Ovis aries: one gene and its partner. The protein of the gene in region 1 interacts with the protein of each later gene in a biochemical or structural test. Links are inferred from orthologs where the notes say so. Each region holds a gene or a part of one and is shown in the gene's direction. Other genes may lie near its edges.

Region 1 (9,761 bases):
CCTCTCCCACCCACCCCCAGGACCGTTTCCACCCACCCTGGGTCTGTGATCCTTTCTTGGGGTCTCCATCCCTCACCTCTCATCCCGGTCTGCCTCTCTCTGGGTCTCTGTCCCCTTCCCCTCTCTGGTTCCTTGCCTTCCCGATCTCTGCTCTCACTGGGCCAGTGTGGACACCGCTGTGAGTAGAGGACGCCTCTCCGCTCACAGGGATCCACCACTTTTCCCTTCCAGGAGGGCATCTTGGCAGTTTCACCTGTGGACTTGAACTTACCCTTGGACTGAGCTCTCCCTCAGAAGTTGCTGTAAGATCAGACCTCATGTCCCTGCACCCTCTTTCTAAGCCTTCCTATTCCACTCAGGGCTGTGGGGTGGTGCCTGCCCTCTATTTTTTTGCCAAAAAAAAAAAAAACCACCAAAAAACCTGTTTAAAATGTTTTCACATTAAAAACTTTTTCAAGTCTTATGTGTTCTTTCTCTCAAAAACTAAAGGACTAAGTAGAGGAGATTTGCTTCAGGGACCTCTCTAGTTTATAAATTGGGGAAAGAACCAATTCATTCCTTCTGGATATATTCATTTCGGACACCTACAAACTCCTGTCACCTGAACAGCTATCTCCAGAACAAAGCTGTGCTCTTCCTTCACAGGGCATCCAGAACGCCATCCGCTTCTCATTTTTCTCTTCACTCCGCTCCTTCTGAGCCTTTTTTGCTGGTTTCTCCTCATTTACCTGTCTACCAGAGGTTGTCACCTTCTTAGGGCTATCACCCCCTTCACTGAATTATGTTTGTAAACGCTTAAAATGAAAAGTACAGGATTACAAAGGAAGCCAAGTACAGTCAAGCCTCCGTATTCACAGATTCCGTATTTTCAAATTCACCTACTCTTAAACATTTATCTGTAGTCCCCAAACGAGTACTCACGTGCCTTTGCACTCACTGGTAGGCGTGCACGTGCTCAGAGCAGTAAACAGTCGGACCGACCCAGTGGGCACCTTTCAGCTCAGGTCGGGCGAGGCAAGGCTGCCTTCCTGTTGCAGTTCTCACACTGTGTACAAACATCCTTTCCACATTCTATATTCAGTGCCACATTTTTCACGTTTCTGTGCTATTTGTGGTGATTCCACTGTCCCAAAGAGCCCCAAAGCATAGCCGGAAGGTCCTAGCGAGCATTCCTAAGTGAAGGAAGGCTGCCATGAACCACAATTCAATGCAGTCTGTTGTAGATCATTTTTGTTACTGTAGGCTGCAAGACCAATGCGAATAGGCCCACTATACATTAAATAATGTGTCTACAAACAGAAAATACACAGAAAACCTGATTATATTTTGATGGGTTGATGAAAGTGTTGTGACAAGACACCTGTGGCAACCTGACCCGGTATCTCCCCTGGGATCAGGGTGGAACAGGGTGTTCACCAATTCTGTGTTTGTGATGACTTTGTGGGGTGTAACTAGCGCAAATAAGGATCCAGTGTGGAAATAAAGCTTTCAAGATTAATATAAAAATTAGTGGTATAATAATAGACATGCCTCCTCATTAATTAAAAACACCTAGGGTGGGTCTCATAACCATGATTTCTAAGTAGAGCAGGAATGACATTTGGAGATGGATCAGATCATATGCGTTTAGCAGCTCACGAGAACGCATTTATTAATTGCAGTTTCTGTGTGTCAGGGGCATGGGCGCAGCTTCGCCGGGCGCTTGGCTCTTGGTGTGGCTATGCTGCTATCAAGGTCTCAGCTTGTCTCACCTGAGGCTGGGGGCCTCTTGCTAGCGCTTGTTTTAGCAGAGTCATTGCGGCCTCATAGAGACACCCGACTCTTCATTTTGACTCAGGTCTGGTAACCACCTTTCTAATCACATGAACTCCCCCGTGATCTTGTCCATTTCGTGGTCTGCGACCTAATGCAGCACTGGCCAATAGAAATATAACATGAGCCATATGTGTTATTTAGAATATAACAGTAGCCCCATGAAAGCGAAGTAAAAAAGTTAAATTAATTTTAACCATAATTTTTATTTACCACATTTATCCAAAATAGAATCATTTCAGCATGTAATCAATATTAAAAATGCAAATGAAGTATTACAGATTCTTTTTTTACATAAAGTCTTCAGAATCTGGTGTGCATTTTTACAGCCATAGCATATCTCAGCTGACACTTGTCATGGGCCATTACTCAGTAGTCCCATGTGGCTGCCATCTTGGAGAATGAAGAATCTGACACTTGATGGCTCCCCCAGTTTTGCTTCCAGCCCAGACCACCCCCCTGTACTCTCTGTGGTGTGGAATTTGCTCAGTCGTATCCGACTCTTTGCGACCCTATGGACTGTACCCTGCCAGGCTCCTCTGTTATGGAATTCCCCAGACAAGAATACTGGAGTGGGTTGCCATTCCCTTCTCTAGGGGATCTTCCCTATCCAGGGATCAAACCCTGGGTCTCCTGCATTACAAGGAGACCCTTTACCATCTGAGCCACCAGGAAAGCCCCTGTACTCTATACCCAGTGACATTAGTTTATTCCCTAATGTTGTAGAGAGAATGTGTTATAATTTTTCCTTCTTTATAGCAACACAAGAGCAAAAGTAATTGATTGGGTTAATTGGAATTCAGAAGGAAAAAAAAGATAAGACACAAAAACCCTGCTGAAACATTTGGAGAAATAGAAAAGAAAAAAAAAATTCCACACAACATACAATGTAAGGGTCAAGATGTGGGTTCAGATAAAGTCTCTGCTTTTCAACAGACAACATTAAGAAAAGGAAAAGACAGGTCACAGATTGGGAGAAAAATGTAAAGTCAGTATACCTAAAAGAGACCTGTATCTAGACGCTATAAAGAACGTTTACAATTGGTGAATAAGAAAACAACTCTGTTTGCAAAAATACACAAAAGAATTGAGCAGACACTTGACAAAAGAAAATATACAAATAGGGGAACTTCCCAGGTGGTGGAGTGGTTAAGGACCCGCCTTCCACTGCAGGAGGTGTGAGTTCCATCCCTGGTTGGGAATCTTGCAGCAACTACTGAGCCCACATGCTCTGGAACCTGTGCACAATAACTAAAACCCGAAGCAGCCAAATTTAAAAAAAAAAAAAAATTTTTATTTTAAAGAAAGAAAACATGCAAATTGCCGATAAGCACACGAAAACACGAAAAGGTGCTGAACAACATTGGCGGTCAGGGCAATAATGCAAGTCACAACCAGGAGATAATCTCTTCCTACACAGGAGAGTCGTTAAAATTATAGACTGATTTTATTAAGTGCTGGAGGGGATGTGGAGCACCTAGAACTCTCACGCATCACTGATGGAAATGCAAATTGGTAGAATACCATAGGAAACTTTGGGGCAGTTTCTTATCAAGTTAAACATACACCTAGCATAGGACGCGCAAGCATGTCCTCCTAGCTTGACCCAAGAGAACTGAAAGTGTACATCTACAGAAAGGTTGGGACACGATGGTTTATGGCCTCTTTATTCATAACAGCCCTAATCTGGAAACCACCCACATGTCCACCAAGAGGAAAATGTGATCCAGCAATACAATGGAATACTCCTCAGCAATAAAAAGGGCTGGACAATCGTTATATGAGACATGAACGAATCTTGAAAACATTATGCTGAGAAAAACAAGACAGGCACAAAAGAGCACATACTTTTATTGGAAAATTTAGCAGCTGAAAAGATACACTATAGTAACGAAACAGTGATTGCTTCTGGGGTTGGGTGGGAGGGCGGTGTTGAAAGGGTCGTGAAGGAACTTTCTAGGGTGATGGGATACATTCCCCAAGTAGCAGTTACCTTCATTCAACAAGTAACTTTTTCTACAGGTCGAGGGAAGCTACCTGGAGGAGGTGGCGACTGAGTTATGCCGGGACTGACTCATGAAGGCCAGACGAAGGGGGTGGGTGTTCCAGCATGGGTAGGACTTGGCAAAGGCCAAGTGCTTGAGTGGGGTCACTGGGTTTTAAAAACTTGTAACAATTAAGTAGAGGGCTAAAGATTAAACACCTCGACGCCTGAGTCCCATTTCTGACTTGATTCAGGATCACGGATAAGACCTCTTTGAGCCTCTCACTGCTTCAGTTTTCCATCAGGAAAATGGGCACAAGCTCCCTTATTTCCCGTTGGATTCCCTACAAGCTGGGAGAAGCCACAGAGTGAACGGTGAGTGACAGTTTGTTTGAGCCAATCTCTGGAGCCTAAAGCCTGCTTTCCTTTTTCGTGGGCCAATCGTCACGTTCTCCTTGAGGCCAGCAGCTTGGCGGAGGCAGGCCGAAAGCCTCATGACGTCACATTGCTAATAAACCAATAGCAGCTATTAAGAGGCGGGTACTTTTGGTGATAGTTCTATTTCAAGATGTCCGCTTAGCGCAGGGTCCGCCGGGAAGCTTTGAGGCGGTACGGGAGAAGGGGCGGGAACTCCCAGTAGATTCTGCCCAATCGTCAGTCGCGCTTCTTGCGATAGACGGGCAGTCTTTCCCATCCCCGTCGACTTAAGGGGGCGGGGTTCGGCACGCCAGAGTAGGCGGGCACCTCAGCTTTGATGGGTGTCTCCTTCGCCCAATGGCTAAATGGTATTTCCAGACGGGTCACCTCCTCTACCAATGAGATCTCCTGGCGGGGTCGCGGTGGGCGGGCCGTAGACCCTCCGGTATAAGGCGGTCCCGGGGGAGTGCGGAGAAAGGGGGGGGGTCTCGGCGGCCGGAGGAGGAGTAGACGCGGGTGAAGATGGCGGCAGCCGAAGCCGCGAACTGCATCATGGAGGTGAGCGCCAGGAGCGCCACCGGGGGCGGGGGGCGGTTTGGAAGTCGGTGTTTTACGCCTCCGCCGTGGGGAAGGGGCTCTGAGTCGCCGGATTGGGGTTGAAGGCCCCTGGCCGTACGGAGGGGGGCGCCGCGTGCTCCGTATCCGAGGATACCGTTTGAACTGCGGGTTCCCTAGCTTTCGGGGGCCTGAGGCGCCACGCCGAGCCGAGGGCCTACTGCCCCCTCCCACGTGGAGGAGGGCTGGGGGCGCTTCCGGCCTGGCCCCCACGTGGCCGTGGCACGGTGGGTGGGGAGGGGGTGTGCCGTGCCCGCTTGCCCGGCGGGTTCCACGTGCGGGACAAAGGCCCCGCCCCCGGCCAGGGGAGGGGCGCCCCGGGGGGGGGCGGAGAGGAGGCTCCGACCCTCCCTCCGAGGCCCCCTACCCTCCTCCCCGGGGATCGTGACGGGCACCTCGGGGTGGGGACCTCCGTGCAGTAATGAGGCTCTTGGGAGGGGCAGTGTGCCTCGACCCTTAACAAACCCTTTCCTGGGACCAGGGCATCTGCTTAGGCATCGGTCCAGGTTTCGTGCGCTCTTGCGTTGGGATTGGAGGAAGACGAAGAATTGGTTCCCTCTGGGACCCCTCCTACCCTCCAGTTTCCTGTCTCTGGATTCTCCCCCTCTTTGGGAGCTGGGGGGATGGGGCATGCCCCTGTGACCTCCCTCTGGTCTATGGGGGGGCATCGAGCGGAAGATCTTTCCCGATTAGGCGCTGTGCACCCCCTTGTGGCCATTTCTGGGTGTGTGGGAGGGACATCTTTTTCATGGGGCGTGTCTCCAAGCCCCCCTCCCTGTCGAAGCCCTCCCGGGCGAGGGGAGAGAGAATCTGTCCTGGGAAGGGCTGTGAGGTAGTGGAGGCAGCGGATTTACCTCCTTCTGGCCCTTCCTCTCCCTGGGGTATTTGTGAAGATGGGAGTTGACCACCTCCTCCCTGAACCCGTGTTTGAGGGTCCTGAACCTGCTTGCGTGAAATGGTGTCCCGTGAGGTGTGATTCTCTTGCAGTTATGTGGGGCTTGCCATGATGCTGTGTCTCAAGCGCTCTGGGGGCATGTCTGGCGGTGATGTCGGTGGTGTAGAGAAATGGGCCCTCAGGGGAAGTCCCCTCACCCGCCGTCTTTCCGTATCCGCGTCATTCACTGGTTTGGGGAGGATGGAGGTGGGGCTTGGAGCCCAGGGGTTATGTCTGTGATTTCACGCTTCTTGGCGCCTGGAGAGTGCTTGCATCTGGAAGAGCTGTAATCTGTTGGGCCCTCCGTACTCTCACCTCTTAGCTTGTAGCAGTCTCAGGAATGGGAGGTGAGGTTCCAAGATGCATACCTTGGGGGGCAGCCCCAGGGGTCACTCCAGTGACTCCCCCTTGGCTCTCTGCTAGACGAAGGCCTTCTTGGCTGGAGGAAATATCTTCCTCAGAGGTGGATCCAGGACTCGGCCCCTCCCCTGGGGAGTTTCTGGGCCTGAGATGGTGGTTCGAACGGGGAGTAGATGGGCTTGGGGGTCCAGGGTCTGGCCTCCTCCGTGGAACTCTGCCCTCCTGCGCAGAGGGTCATAATCAGGAGATTGGCACTCCCTTGTTTTGTTTGGGACTCCCTGAGTCCCAGGCAGGAGCTAGCAGCCCGCATGCCAGCTCTGGTGGGGGGTGCCCGTGTGCCACACCTCCTTTCTGGAATCCTCTCAGATGAGAGAGTGCTTTGCAGAGGTGACAGATGCCCAGTGGGTACACCCTGCCAGTTCCCTTCCCCCAGCTCGAATGGTACCCCAGGATGAGGCTTTGTGTCAGGAAGTGTCATCTAATCTGGGGAGATTAGATGGTGAGGGGGAGTGACAGCTGGCAGTGCCCTTGTGCCCGGCGGGTGCCAGTTCCTCTGGCCTGGATGGGGGAGGCGTGTGTGCTCAGGTGCCTGGCCCAACAGGGGCAGTGTGGGGGCAGGCCACCATCTCTCCAGCCACAGCTGGGATAGAACCCCCTCCCTGCTCCCCCACATCTCCCCCACCCCTGTTGAAAACAGCCTTGCCTCTTTACTTGTTCCTTCTCCCACCACTGCTCACAAAGGAAAAGCAAAATTGTAGGAAACACCTCCTTCTTGCCCAAGAGCCCGGGTCGCCTGGCCTGGCCCTCCCCTAGCCGCTCCTGGTAGCTAATCCTTTCTCCCTGTTACTCTCTCCTAGAATTTTGTAGCCACCTTGGCTAATGGGATGAGCCTCCAGCCGCCTCTTGAAGAAGTAAATATCCTTTTGTGAGACCCCTTCCCACATACACATTTCCTCACACGTCACGCCCTTTTTAGTGGTCTAACTGATCCCTCTGGCTTCAAACCACTTTACCCTTGGCCCCCGAAACACTTAGTCCAGACTCCGTCCAGGTTTGGGCCCCCACCTGGCCTCTCCCAATACTGTGGCTACTTCCTTAACTCCATTTACAGCCCCCCACCCCACCTTTGTCCTTCCCTGTGTCTGCCCCGCTTCCGCCTTCCTCTCCCCTCCCTTCCCCAGCTGTGGGCTGAGCTAGAGACGGGGGCAGACAGACTGGAGAGATGGTAGGCCTGGCTGAGGTATCGGGGGTGCCCTCCTGGATGGTGCTCTGGGGGTGGGGGGTTCCTGGGCGAGGCAAGACGGCAGGTGGGGGCTGTAGGGTTGCCATGGTACGGTTTGGGGAGTGGTTCTGTATACTCCATGGGGGCGTAGACCTGCCTGGAGGCTTCCGAATCTCTGGGGAGCCCCCAGATGTGACCCCGTTTGCTCCCATTCACCCCCTCCCAGGTCTCCTGTGGCCAGGCAGAAAGCAGCGAGAAGCCCAACGCTGAGGACATGACGTCCAAAGATTACTACTTTGACTCCTATGCTCACTTCGGCATCCACGAGGTGAGTATGGACAGACAGCTCCTGAGGGTGCCGAATCTTCCAGGGGGTCATGTTGGGGAGAGCTGGAGATTCATCTCTGACGCATGCGCACTGCCTTCCCTGGCAGCGGGCCACCCCCTCTGCGCAGGCAGAGCTCACACTCCGGGTCGCCTCGCGCAGCCGTTGCCTGGGAGACGGGGTTAGCCTGGCGCTCTACCAGTCCTCTCCTGGGAGGCCGCGGTGGGAGCGCGCATGTGCATCGCATGTGCATCTGAGACGCATGTGCATCTGAGACGTCAGCCCGAGGTCAGGGCCTACCGGTCTTTGCCGCCCTCTAGTGACCGGCAGCGGCTCGAAAGTCTTCTCCACCCCTTTTGCGTGTGGTGGAGGCTGAGGTCCCAGAAAGCAGCAGGGATGGGGTGGGAAGATTTTTCTCTTTCCTTTTTTAAAATATTGTTATAAAATATGCATAACAAAATTTACCATTTTCACGTGGGCGGTTTAATGGCTTTGGCTTACTGAGGACTTTTTAAAGGCAAGGCTTTACAGGGGGTTAGTCGGCAAGGGTAGAAAATGCCTAAGATGGGATTTTGGTCCATCCAGTCCAATTTCACGTAGGGAAACTGAGGCGTGTGGAAGGGAAATAACTTGTCCTAAGGGGACTAAAGCAGGTTTGAGGACTGAGTGCCAGTCTTCAAGTTGATCAGTGTGTTGGAGGCCAGGACACCCTGGTTTTCAGCAGGGGACGCCAGTCCCCTCATGATCTCTTTGTTCCCACCCCTGCCAGGAAATGCTGAAAGATGAGGTCCGCACCCTCACATACCGCAACTCCATGTTTCACAACCGGCACCTTTTCAAAGACAAGGTGGTGCTGGACGTGGGCTCGGGCACAGGGATCCTCTGCATGTTTGCCGCCAAGGCTGGGGCCCGCAAGGTCATCGGGGTGAGTGTCCTCGGCGGCCGGCCAGGCCTGGGCCTAGGGACGGAAAGGGGGCCCCTTGGGGCTCAGGGATTGGGTGGAGGGGAGTGGGGGTGGAGGGTGGCATTTGGGGGGGGGTCTCACCCTCCCTTCTTCCTGGGCCCCCAGATCGAGTGTTCCAGTATCTCTGATTATGCGGTGAAGATCGTCAAAGCCAACAAGTTAGACCATGGTGAGCCCAGGAAGAGAACGGGGTCTTTGGGGAGGGAGCGGGGGATCCCAGCTTCCCCGGGGCCCCTGGCAAGGGAATGGAGGCCATAGAAGTCAAATTCAGGCGTTCCTCCCCCGGTGGGCTCTGGGCTGCGGACAGCCCAAAAATCCAGCCTTCTCAGAACCTACCTCCTGACAAGCCGTCTTAGAATCTGCATGTCGAAGTCACAAGCTTAGTGCTTCAGTCTTTTATTTAAAAAAACAAAAATTTCAAGAAGCAATCTTGAGTTTTTTCAGTGAGTGATAGAGTCACGTGGTTGGCACATGAGGCCCATAGTAAGAAGTCTGCCACCCGCCTCTCAGCCACTCTTCTCTAAGTGCAGACAGCTCTCTCTCCCAGAGAGGTTCATACCGATGAACAAACGTGTGTGTATGTTTCTGCATTCACATGCTGGTTTTTGACACAGATAATGTTTCATACATGCCCTTTGTGATTTTCACCTGTGTATTATGTAGTTTAACACCTGATAGGATGTTGAGAGGATCTTGCTTTTTGATGACTGCCATCCTCTATTTTCACATACACCAGGTCTGTTAACCAAGTTCCTGGTCATGGGCATTTGAGCTTCCAAGACTTTCATCCCCCACCTGTAATGTCATCATCAATCATATATGAACTAATGTTATCTGTGAGGTCAGTTTGTAAAAGTAGGGTTGCATGGATCAAAAGTGGAAGAAAGTTGGGCAGAAGGTGCCACATTGCCCTTCCCACCTGCAAGGTTTGAGGGGCAGAGGACATGGGAACATGTGGGTTTTTTGATATGAGGGCCCTTGGCATTCTAGAAGCTGAAGGGGTTTTTTTTGAAAAAGAAATTAGTGTAATGAATTCCTAAGTTCCCATCACTGAGCTTTAAATACCTCCTTTTGAAGCAAATTCCGACTATAAATCCTGCCATGTGTGTATCTAATAGATTTTAAAAA
Region 2 (9,320 bases), on another chromosome or scaffold:
AGTTGGGGTCTTGACTGTTTCTTTTTCGTACATCCATCCCCGTTTTATTTTTGTGAGAACTTGGGAGCCTGAACTTCTACCCACACTTCTGTACAGAGATTTGAGTACTGACAACTTTCATCTCTAAAGAAAAAGAAATGTAGGGGTGTATGTGGATTGGAGTCATTGATATCCTAGGCAAGAAACATGGAAGTAAAGGCTTCTTTCTCTGCAAGGGAAACCGATGATCCCACTCCTGGTGACAGGGAAACTTGTTACTTGTATTCCCATGTGTCCGCTAAAGGAGCTGTCAATGGTTAACCTGACTTGAGCTTCCAGGAATTGGCTACTTTCTCTTCCTGTATTCTCTAGTCACTTGAATCCACGAACTTGACTTGTACTAATCTGACGGACTGTAATGATTTTGTGTGTGACTTGGTTCATGGGGCTCTCTGAAGTGTGCAGACCTTTTGGACAAAGTACAGTACACTCGACAGTGGTCTCCCACCCACTTGCTCCACTGTCCCCCTTCCTCCGGTTACTTGTCCAGCTGGACCGTCTTTCCTCCCCTTCCTGCTGAAGCTGAAGTAAAACCTTAGATTTGATGTTAGAACATTTGTCAAGTCTGTTGGTAAATAACGATTGGAGGCACCCTTCTCTGTCTCTCTTGAGAAGGGGAGGAATGTCAGTGTGTTACTCCTTTTGGGGAAAAAGTAAGTTTTTAAAAAAGAGTTTGTGTATGGTAAGTATTCAGAGGGGGGGTGGGGGCAGTGCCATAAACCTTACAGAAATAAGGAAAACTCTTGTGTGCGTGTGTTTATAATGCAAAACTTTAAAAAAAGAAAAGCAACTGTTATGTGACTGTTAACTTGCTCTGCATTTTATGTGCCACAGGTATGAAAGGTGACATTGCAAAATACTCCGCTCTTCTCGCAGTGTAGAAGGGGTGACCCCGGGGGTGGGGAGAGATCAAAACCAGCTCAGTAGTTAGGGAAGGGCTTAGCTAAGTTTTGTCTCGCTTTAAGGGGAAATTGCCTTTGGTTTTGACTTTTTATGGAAAGGGGTTGGGTCTGCTTGCTGCTTTCAAAGCAAAAAAAAAAAAAAAATCACAAAAATGTGTTCAGGGCTACCCCAGCCTGGTGTGAAGTGTCTTCTGGGTAAACTGGGGGTAGGGTTTTTTAAACCAACTACTGGGTTGGCAACTGCTTGCGACAAGAGGAAAAACATCTGCTACGTCGGAAGAACGGCCAAGGAAAATGGGTCATTTTTTTTTTTTTCCTAGAGGAAATAGATATATAACCTTTTAAGCAAAATCCTTAACAATTGTGTCTGAGAAATTGCACACGTGTGTGTGACATGCTCACAGGTCAGACAAGGGTTGGTCAGGAAGGGGAATGTATTTTAGTAGCCACTTGCATTATCATTTTCCCAAAACACCTACCTATGTTTGGGGAATGTTGAACAAAACCAAAAACCGCCCTTTTGTAGCCGTTGGAAGCTTCATGTCCTTTCTTCTAACTTGTCTTCTCCAGCGGAAGTGACCGTGGTGGCTTCAATAAATTTGGTGGTAAGTGAACAGAGTTTCCAAAATTCCCAACTCCCAGCAATGCTTTGTCTGATTGTTCATTTGCAGTTGTCTTAGCGTGTTTTAAGTGTCAAAAGTTTTGGAGTGTCCATATCCACCTCCAGAAAGGGGTGGGGTGGAATGCCACCTGCTGCCAGATGTGTGCTAACCTGGAGGCAGGCAGGGAGTAAGACTCAGCAGTCGTCTGGTACCAAATTGGTTTGACCCAGGTTAATAAGCGGTGTTTAGGAGGCCTCTTGACGAGTGTCGCCACACCCGGCAGTTAGTGACCACCGTTGCGAGAAACTGGAGAGTGTGCTGGAGCATGTGGTGCCAACTTGGCTTTAGGATCGATCCTTTGATCAGTGTGTCCGAGGCTTGTGTGTGTGTGTGTGTGTGTGTGTGTGTGACAACCTCCAAACATTTTAATTCTGGACGAGGGATGAAGTATTGCCCTGCCCTGAGGATGGTGACGTTGGTATATATTTATGTATTAAATACTGAATGGTGTCAATGCAATCCTACATACACGTATTTAAACTCAACTCAGATGGGCTAAATAGCAACTAGCTCTGGGCAGGAAGGTGTGAACTGCTTCCAAGAAAGGTTGGGAGCATGTGTGGCTCATGGGAAATAATCAGGTCTTAATAACAGCACAAACTGAATTCATGGAAAAATGGCAAATTGGAGAAGTCTCCCAGTAAGCTGGAACTTTTCTGGTCTGGTTAACTAACAAAGGGTTTCTTGATTTGTCTCAACATGTAAAGCCAAAGGCTTGGGTTCATGATTTAGGTGTGTCATTGAGTGTGGGTACAACATTTATATATGGTGAATTCAGATAAACTTTGGGCGAAGATGGTCTCTGGAAAAAAAAAAATAGAGGCTGCATTATGGAAATAAGATTTCTGGTCTGTTCCCTGGGACATGCTTAAAACATACAATAGCTATTTTGTATGGTTTTTATTTTCATGTGGTTTTTGGGGAAACAACATGGTTTTAAGACTGGTTTCGAAAGATGACATTAAAAATTGTTCTACAAGGGATAAGTGTCTTTGGTGCTAAAGTTTGGAGAAACTGTATGAATGCATATCACATTGCTGGTGGTGAGCCCATTTCTCTCTGGGGCGAGAGAAGAGGGCCAAGCTATGAGTTGGTTTGTTAACTTCAATGGGTCTCCCTCCTGGCCCTCCCAGTCTGTGCTGAGGACATTTCCCAGCCTGAGCTGGGGGAGGCAGCATTTTCTGAAGTGTGGAGTTGTCCCTGTGGGGACTCAAGTTACATGCAGACCTTAAGAAAAGGGGCCTGTGTCTTTCCCAGACCTGCCTAGGGTTTTCTCTGGGCAGGCGACCCAGAACAGGGTTTGGAGTGAGGCTGGCTGTGAGCACTTACCTGATATTTTGCAAAAGTTTGGATTTGGTGTTAATTATTTTGCTTGTCTTTCTCAGCCTCTTAACTAACGGCTCCTCTTTCCTTGTTTTTTTGTTTTTTTGTTTTTGTTTTTTCTTCTATGTCATTTAAGGCCCTCGGGACCAAGGATCACGTCATGACTCTGGTAAGTCCGCAGGTGGCAGGAAAGAAAGGCAAAAGTGGTAGCAGGACTTTCCTTGGATGTTGTTCAAACTTAAGGGAATCTGAAGAAGAGCGGGGCTAGAGAAGAGCGGGGAAGAGCGTTTAGTTAGGAGTAGCTGTGTTGAATAGTGTATTTAACAAGAAAGACACAGGGACGCACTTAGTGTATGTGTTGTTTTGATGATGTTTGTATAGGGCTTCCCTGGTGGGAATGCTGCGTTTTAGTGTAAAATTAGTTTCTTTGGGGGTCTTCAACTGAAAGTTGACAAACACTGGTGTGGTCTTGGGCAGTTAAATCCTGAGCCCTGGATTCTTTTACGAATTTCAACATATTTTAAGGGGTAGTTGTAAACCTAAATTTTAATTGGTGAAGCGGCTAGCATACAGGCACTCATAATGAAGTAGAGTTGGAGATTTGTCGGACCTACAGCACCAGTGCTTTATATTAATTGGTTTAGAAATTTTCTTTCTTGGAAAGCTAACTATCAAGTATCAAAGTTCAGGTTACTAAGTGTCACTGACTTATTTTATCTCTGGTTGTTTTCTGTCTCCATGTTTCCTGCTGTGTTGGGCAAGCAGAACAGGATAATTCAGACAACAACACCATCTTCGTGCAAGGGCTGGGCGAGAATGTTACAATTGAGTCTGTAGCTGATTACTTCAAGCAGATTGGTATCATTAAGGTACTTATGGGAACTTCTCTGGCAGGCCAGTGGCTAGGACTCCTCGCATCTACTGCAAGGGCACGGGTTTGATTCCTCATTGGGGAACTAAGATCCCCCCGGCCCCAATAAAGAGTGGCTATGTCCCCCCCAGCCCCGAAAGGTACTTCTGGGGCAGAGTGGATACATTCTATTAGTGCTGCAGGCTTTGGGATTTCATACCTTAGTGAAAATAGAAATCTTAATGGTTGCCTGCTTCATTTGTTGAGGAAAAAGCATTAACTGTTGCCATTCCAAAGGGAATCATTTTAACACAAAAAGGTACAATTGATTAAAAAGATGATTAAAACTTTTGAATTGTAGTCTATAATCTTTGTCATTTAATATTGAAGGGAGAAGCAGTTAACAGTCGATGGCTTTCTTTCAAGTTATGTATGAAATAGGAAGGTATGGTTTTGATAGTGCTGTATTCTCTGATAGACTGATGTGATCTCATGTTGCTTTCTTCAGACAAATAAGAAAACAGGACAGCCCATGATTAATCTGTACACAGACAGGGAAACAGGCAAGCTGAAGGGAGAGGCCACCGTATCATTTGATGATCCACCTTCCGCCAAAGCAGCTATTGACTGGTTTGATGGTATGTCTGAGGAGGCTGGGGGAGAGGGCAGCTAGCTTGGGGAAACAGGCTGCATTTTGAGGGTTTCTTTGAGTCTTCCAAGACTTAACAGCACTACCCTGTTGGTGTAGTCTTATATTTGGTTATGTTTCGTGAGATTGTAAACATTTGTAAGAAGGCAGAGTCTTCTCTTGATTGTACCAGGTATACTTTGGGACCCACAGGTCATAGGTCTTAATTAGAAGTCTCTTTTATACCTCCTTTATTTCTTATAGGTAAAGAATTCTCTGGGAATCCTATCAAGGTCTCATTTGCTACTCGGCGAGCAGACTTCAATCGGGGTGGTGGCAATGGTCGTGGAGGCCGAGGGCGAGGAGGTAAGGAGCTCTTTGTGTTGCTGTAAAGAAGTGATGGGGAGAGAAGAGGGAAGGAGGATGGTAAGGGCTTGTGTGGGAAAGACAGGTTAACCACACTTGGAAGGTGAGCAGACCTGTTCTTCGCTCTGTTCTAGGACCTATGGGCCGTGGAGGCTATGGAGGTGGTGGCAGCGGCGGCGGTGGCCGAGGAGGATTCCCCAGTGGCGGTGGCGGTGGCGGAGGACAGCAGCGAGCAGGGGACTGGAAGTGTCCTAATCCGTGAGTGAAACTGCTTAATTTTTTTCTCAGCCCTCTTGTACATGTGCCCTTTGATGTTAAGTTATGTGCCAAGTTGTTGCTTCAGTCCTGTCTGACTCTGCAACCCCAAGGACTGTGGATTGCCATTCCCTTCCCCAGGGGGTTTTCCCAACCTGGGGATCAAACCCAAGCCTCTTATGTCTCCTGTGTTGGCAGGCAGGTTCTTTACCCACTAGCACCACCTTGACCTTAGGACAGAGCTTGTAGTTCTGCTAATGTCAGGGATAGGCGTGGTTGGGAATCATCTAGACTGGGCTCAGTAACCTGCAGTCTTTGTCTCTGCTCCTGAGAAACGGGCCTCTTTGCTTTTCCGAGGCCTCATTTTCCTCACGTATCCCTGGGGTCACTGGAATTTTCATAATTCTAGGTCTTGGCCATTTCCACCCCCCTCCTACACACATTAATTGTCTTATTTTTCCTTAGTACCTGTGAAAACATGAACTTCTCTTGGAGGAATGAATGTAACCAGTGTAAGGCCCCTAAACCAGATGGCCCAGGAGGGGGACCAGGAGGCTCTCATATGGGTAAGGAAGAGGCAGAGCTGGTGTTGGGATCTGCAAGGAGGCTAGACAGGGGGAGGGAGGAGGGGTCTGGGGGATGTGATAGAGGGTTGAATCATGTTTCTTTATTTCCTAGGGGGTAACTACGGAGATGATCGTCGTGGTGGCAGAGGAGGCTATGATCGGGGTGGCTACCGAGGCCGAGGAGGGGACCGTGGGGGCTTCCGAGGGGGCCGGGGTGGTGGGGACAGAGGTGGTTTCGGCCCTGGCAAGATGGACTCCAGGTAAGTAAGACTAAATTGAAAGGGAACTAGAGCAGTTGACCAGAGGTCATGGGATTGCAGGGTTTGGGGAGCGTGGTTTCATTTTGAGGGCGGGGTTGGGAAGCTGAGACTTGGGTAGGAGACAAGGGAAGGAGACTTACCTGGGGGAGCTAGTCTGGATGCCCATGTGCACTCCGTGCCCAGGGAGACGAGCTGTCTCTCGGGGTGGGTAGCAGGGCAGGTTGGGTTTTGGGGGTGGATGGGTAGAGAGGTTGGAACCCAGACCTCATGGATGCTCTTTCTTGCAGGGGTGAGCACAGACAGGATCGCAGGGAGAGGCCGTACTAGCCTGGCTCCCGAGGCCTTGGAGCAGCTTTCTTCCTGTACCCAGTGTTACTGCCCTCATTATTTTGTAACCTTCCACCTCCTGATCACCCACGGGTTTTTTGTGTCGGACTATGTAACTGTAACCATACCTCTGGTTCCCATTAAAAACCATCATTTTAGTTAAATTTTCTTCCTTTACCCCCTCTTCACTCTCCTGGAGCGTGGATGTCCAGGTCAAGAACGTGGGGAGTTTTTCCTCTATTCAGATCAACCAACCTGCCTTGTGGGAACTGGAATAAATTTATTTGTTCCCGCTCAGCAGGAACTGGAATAAAGTGTTTGATACTTGGTTCAGGGGAGCAAAGGTCAAGTGTATCCTTGAAAGTAGAGATTAAACTTCTCTATTCACAGTCAAAATCAGATGAATGAAAGGGGTAAATGAAAAACATCGTGTGTTGCCCCCCATTTTTGTCCAGCCATGTGGAAATTTTTCTTCTGTGTTGATTGATGTGCTGATTTTTGTGGGCTTATTTTTAGCAGTTTTGTTCCTTTTAAGGAGTTCTGGCACTTTTCTAAGGGTGGGGCTCAAACAAACTTTGAGGGTGATACTCAAGTTTGATTGACCCTGATTAGATCATGTAGTTAACCAGTTGGTTTTTTTTTCCCAGGAAGGGGAGAAACAAACTGAGCACCTGCCTAGTGGCAGATAGGCTGTTCACAAGTTTTTGCAGATGGAAAACGAAGTGCCTGGGTTCTGTAGCTCTCACAGTCAGGAAATGGTTTGACGCCAGGATGCAGTCCTTGTCATCTTCCAACTTGATTTTCATTTCTTGGCGTTTCTTTCTGAAACAAATTCCTACCCCACTTATTTGCTTCAGTTCAGTTCAGTCGCTCAGTCGTGTCCGACTCTACGATCCCATGAATTGCAGCACGCCAGGCCTCCCTGTCCATCACCAACTCCCGGAGTTCACTCAGACTCATGTCCACTGAGTCAGTGATGCCTTCCAGCCATCTCATCCTCTGTCGTCCCCTTCTCCTGCCTCCAATCCCTCCCAGCATCAGTCTTTTTTCCAATGAGTCAACTCTTTAAATGAGGTGGTCAAAGTACTGGAGTTTCAGCTTTAGCATCATTCCTTCCAAAGAAATCCCAGGGCTGATCTCTTTCAGAATGGACTGGTTGGATCTCCTTGCAGTCCAAGGGACTCTCAAGAGTCTTCTCCAACACCACAGTTGAAAAGCATCAATTCTTTAGCGCTCAGCCTTATTCACAGTTCAACTCTCACATCCATACATTGCTCCATACATGACTATCTCAAATCCATACATGATCATTTTCTGAATGTTGAGCTTTAGGCCAACTTTTTCACTCCTGTTTCATCAAGAGGCTTTTTACTTCCTCTTCACTTTCTGCCATAAGGGTGGTGTCATCTGCATATCTGAGATTATTGATATTTCCCCTGGCAATCTTGATTCCAGCTTGTGTTTCTTCCAGTCCAGCGTTTCTCCTGATGTGCTCTGCATAGAAGTTAAATAAGCAGGGTGACAATATACAGCCTCGACGTACTCCTTTTCCTATTTGGAACCAGTCTGTTCCATGTCTAATTCTAACTGTTGCTTCCTGACCTGCATACAGATTTCTCAAGAGGCAGGTCAGGTGGTCTGGTATTCCCATCATAGAATTTTCCACAATTTATTGTGATCCACACAGACAAAGGCTTTGGCATAGTCAATAAAGCAGAAATAGATGTTTTTTTGGAACTCATGCCTTTCCATGATCCAGCAGATGTTGGCAATTTGATTTCTGGTTCCTCTGCCTTTTCTAAAACCAGCTTGAACATCTGGAAGTTCACGGTTCACGGCTTCATTGCTGAAGCCTGGCTTGGAGAATTTTGAGCATTACTTTACTAGCATGTGAGATGAGTGCAATTGTGCGGTAGTTTGAGCATTCTTTGGCATTGCCTTTCTTTGGGATTGGAATGAAAACTGACCTTTTCCTGTCCTGTGGCCACTGCTGAACTTTCCAAATTTGCTGGCATATCTTTCAGGATTTGAAATAGCTCAACTGGAATTCTATCACCTCCACTAGCTTTGTTCGTAGTGATGCCCACTTAACTTCACATTCCAGGATGTCTGGCTCTAGATGAGTGATCACACCATCATGATTATCCGGGGCGTGAAGGTCTTTTTTGTACAATTCTGTGTATCCTTGCCACCTCTTAATATCTTCTGCTTCTGTTAGGTCCATACCATTTCTGTCCTTTATTGAGCCCATCTTTGCATGAAATGTTCCCTTGGTATCTTTGATTTTCTTGAAGAGATCTCTAGTCTTTCCCATTCTGTTTTTTTCCTCTATTTCTTTGCATTGATCGCTGAAGAAAGCTTTCTTATCTCTTCTTGCTATTCATTGGAACTCTGCCTTCAGATGCTTATATCTTTCCTTTTCTCCTTTGCTTTTCGCCTCTCTTCTTTTCACAGCTATTTGTAAGGCCTTCCCAGACAGCCATTTTGCTTTTTTGCATTTCTTTTCCATGGGAATGGCCTTGATCCCTGTCTCCTGTACACTGTCACGAACCTTATTCCATAGTTCATCAGGCACTCAATCAGATCTAGGCCCTTAAATCTATTTCTCACTTCTTTCACTGTATAATCATAGGGATTTGATTTAGGTCATACCTGAATGTAGGCCTGGCTTAAGAGGATGCTGAATTTTAGGAAGAAAGACTTGGGAATGAGATAAGATGGTGAAAGGGGAAGGTTAGCTGAGAAAGTAAGATAAGGCTCCCTCCCCACAACACTAGTTTTCCTGAAGGTGGGACTCCGGGTATTGTCTGTTGAGACTGGTGTAATTAGGTCTCATTCACATCTGCCAGTACTCAAAAGTCTTTGGTATTTTGAGAAAGGGAAGGGGTTAGGCCAATGAGTTGCCACCTCAATAGTGCCCCTTAACCTGATATATATTTCCTGACCCCAGAAAACTACCCCCTCCTTCCAGCTCAAAACTTGAATTTAGGAAACTTGCCCACTCTTGCCAAGCAGTTGAAATTTGGCTACACAGAACTTATAACCAACAGCAAACAGTGTTTTTTGTTGTCAGAAGCACAGCTCATAAGAGTGCCTGGGACCCCTTGTGGGAAGTGCTTTTCTATTTCTGAAATTGTTGCCT

Evidence for each region.
Region 2: of the proteins of PRMT1 (region 1) and FUS, one has a biochemical effect on the other in vitro, tested with the Homo sapiens proteins (3 studies listed by BioGRID). The link is inferred for Ovis aries from reciprocal best matches to the Homo sapiens genes PRMT1 and FUS.

The regions. Positions count from the first base shown.
Region 1 is NC_056067.1:55,806,785-55,816,545, forward strand, and holds the start of PRMT1 (protein arginine N-methyltransferase 1), read left to right. Parts: upstream 1-4,689; 5' UTR 4,690-4,735; coding exon 4,736-4,771; exon of another isoform or gene 4,772-5,783; coding exon of another isoform or gene 5,784-5,798; intron 5,799-5,978; exon of another isoform or gene 5,979-6,109; intron 6,110-6,977; exon of another isoform or gene 6,978-6,979; coding exon 6,980-7,033; exon of another isoform or gene 7,034-7,037; intron 7,038-7,231; exon of another isoform or gene 7,232-7,344; coding exon of another isoform or gene 7,345-7,347; intron 7,348-7,570; coding exon 7,571-7,672; intron 7,673-8,438; coding exon 8,439-8,594; intron 8,595-8,738; coding exon 8,739-8,802; intron 8,803-9,761. Other genes in the region: BCL2L12 (bcl-2-like protein 12), read left to right, coding at 232-282. UniProt on the Homo sapiens protein: Arginine methyltransferase that methylates (mono and asymmetric dimethylation) the guanidino nitrogens of arginyl residues present in proteins such as ESR1, histone H2, H3 and H4, FMR1, ILF3, HNRNPA1, HNRNPD, NFATC2IP, SUPT5H, TAF15, EWS, HABP4, SERBP1, RBM15, FOXO1, CHTOP, MAP3K5/ASK1, MICU1 and NPRL2.
Region 2 is NC_056077.1:27,786,538-27,795,857, forward strand, and holds the end of FUS (RNA-binding protein FUS), read left to right. Parts: intron 1-1,511; coding exon 1,512-1,546; intron 1,547-3,062; coding exon 3,063-3,095; intron 3,096-3,691; coding exon 3,692-3,795; intron 3,796-4,284; coding exon 4,285-4,414; intron 4,415-4,668; coding exon 4,669-4,770; intron 4,771-4,904; coding exon 4,905-5,028; intron 5,029-5,490; coding exon 5,491-5,591; intron 5,592-5,703; coding exon 5,704-5,851; intron 5,852-6,138; coding exon 6,139-6,178; 3' UTR 6,179-6,342; downstream 6,343-9,320. UniProt on the Homo sapiens protein: DNA/RNA-binding protein that plays a role in various cellular processes such as transcription regulation, RNA splicing, RNA transport, DNA repair and damage response. Binds to ssRNA containing the consensus sequence 5'-AGGUAA-3'.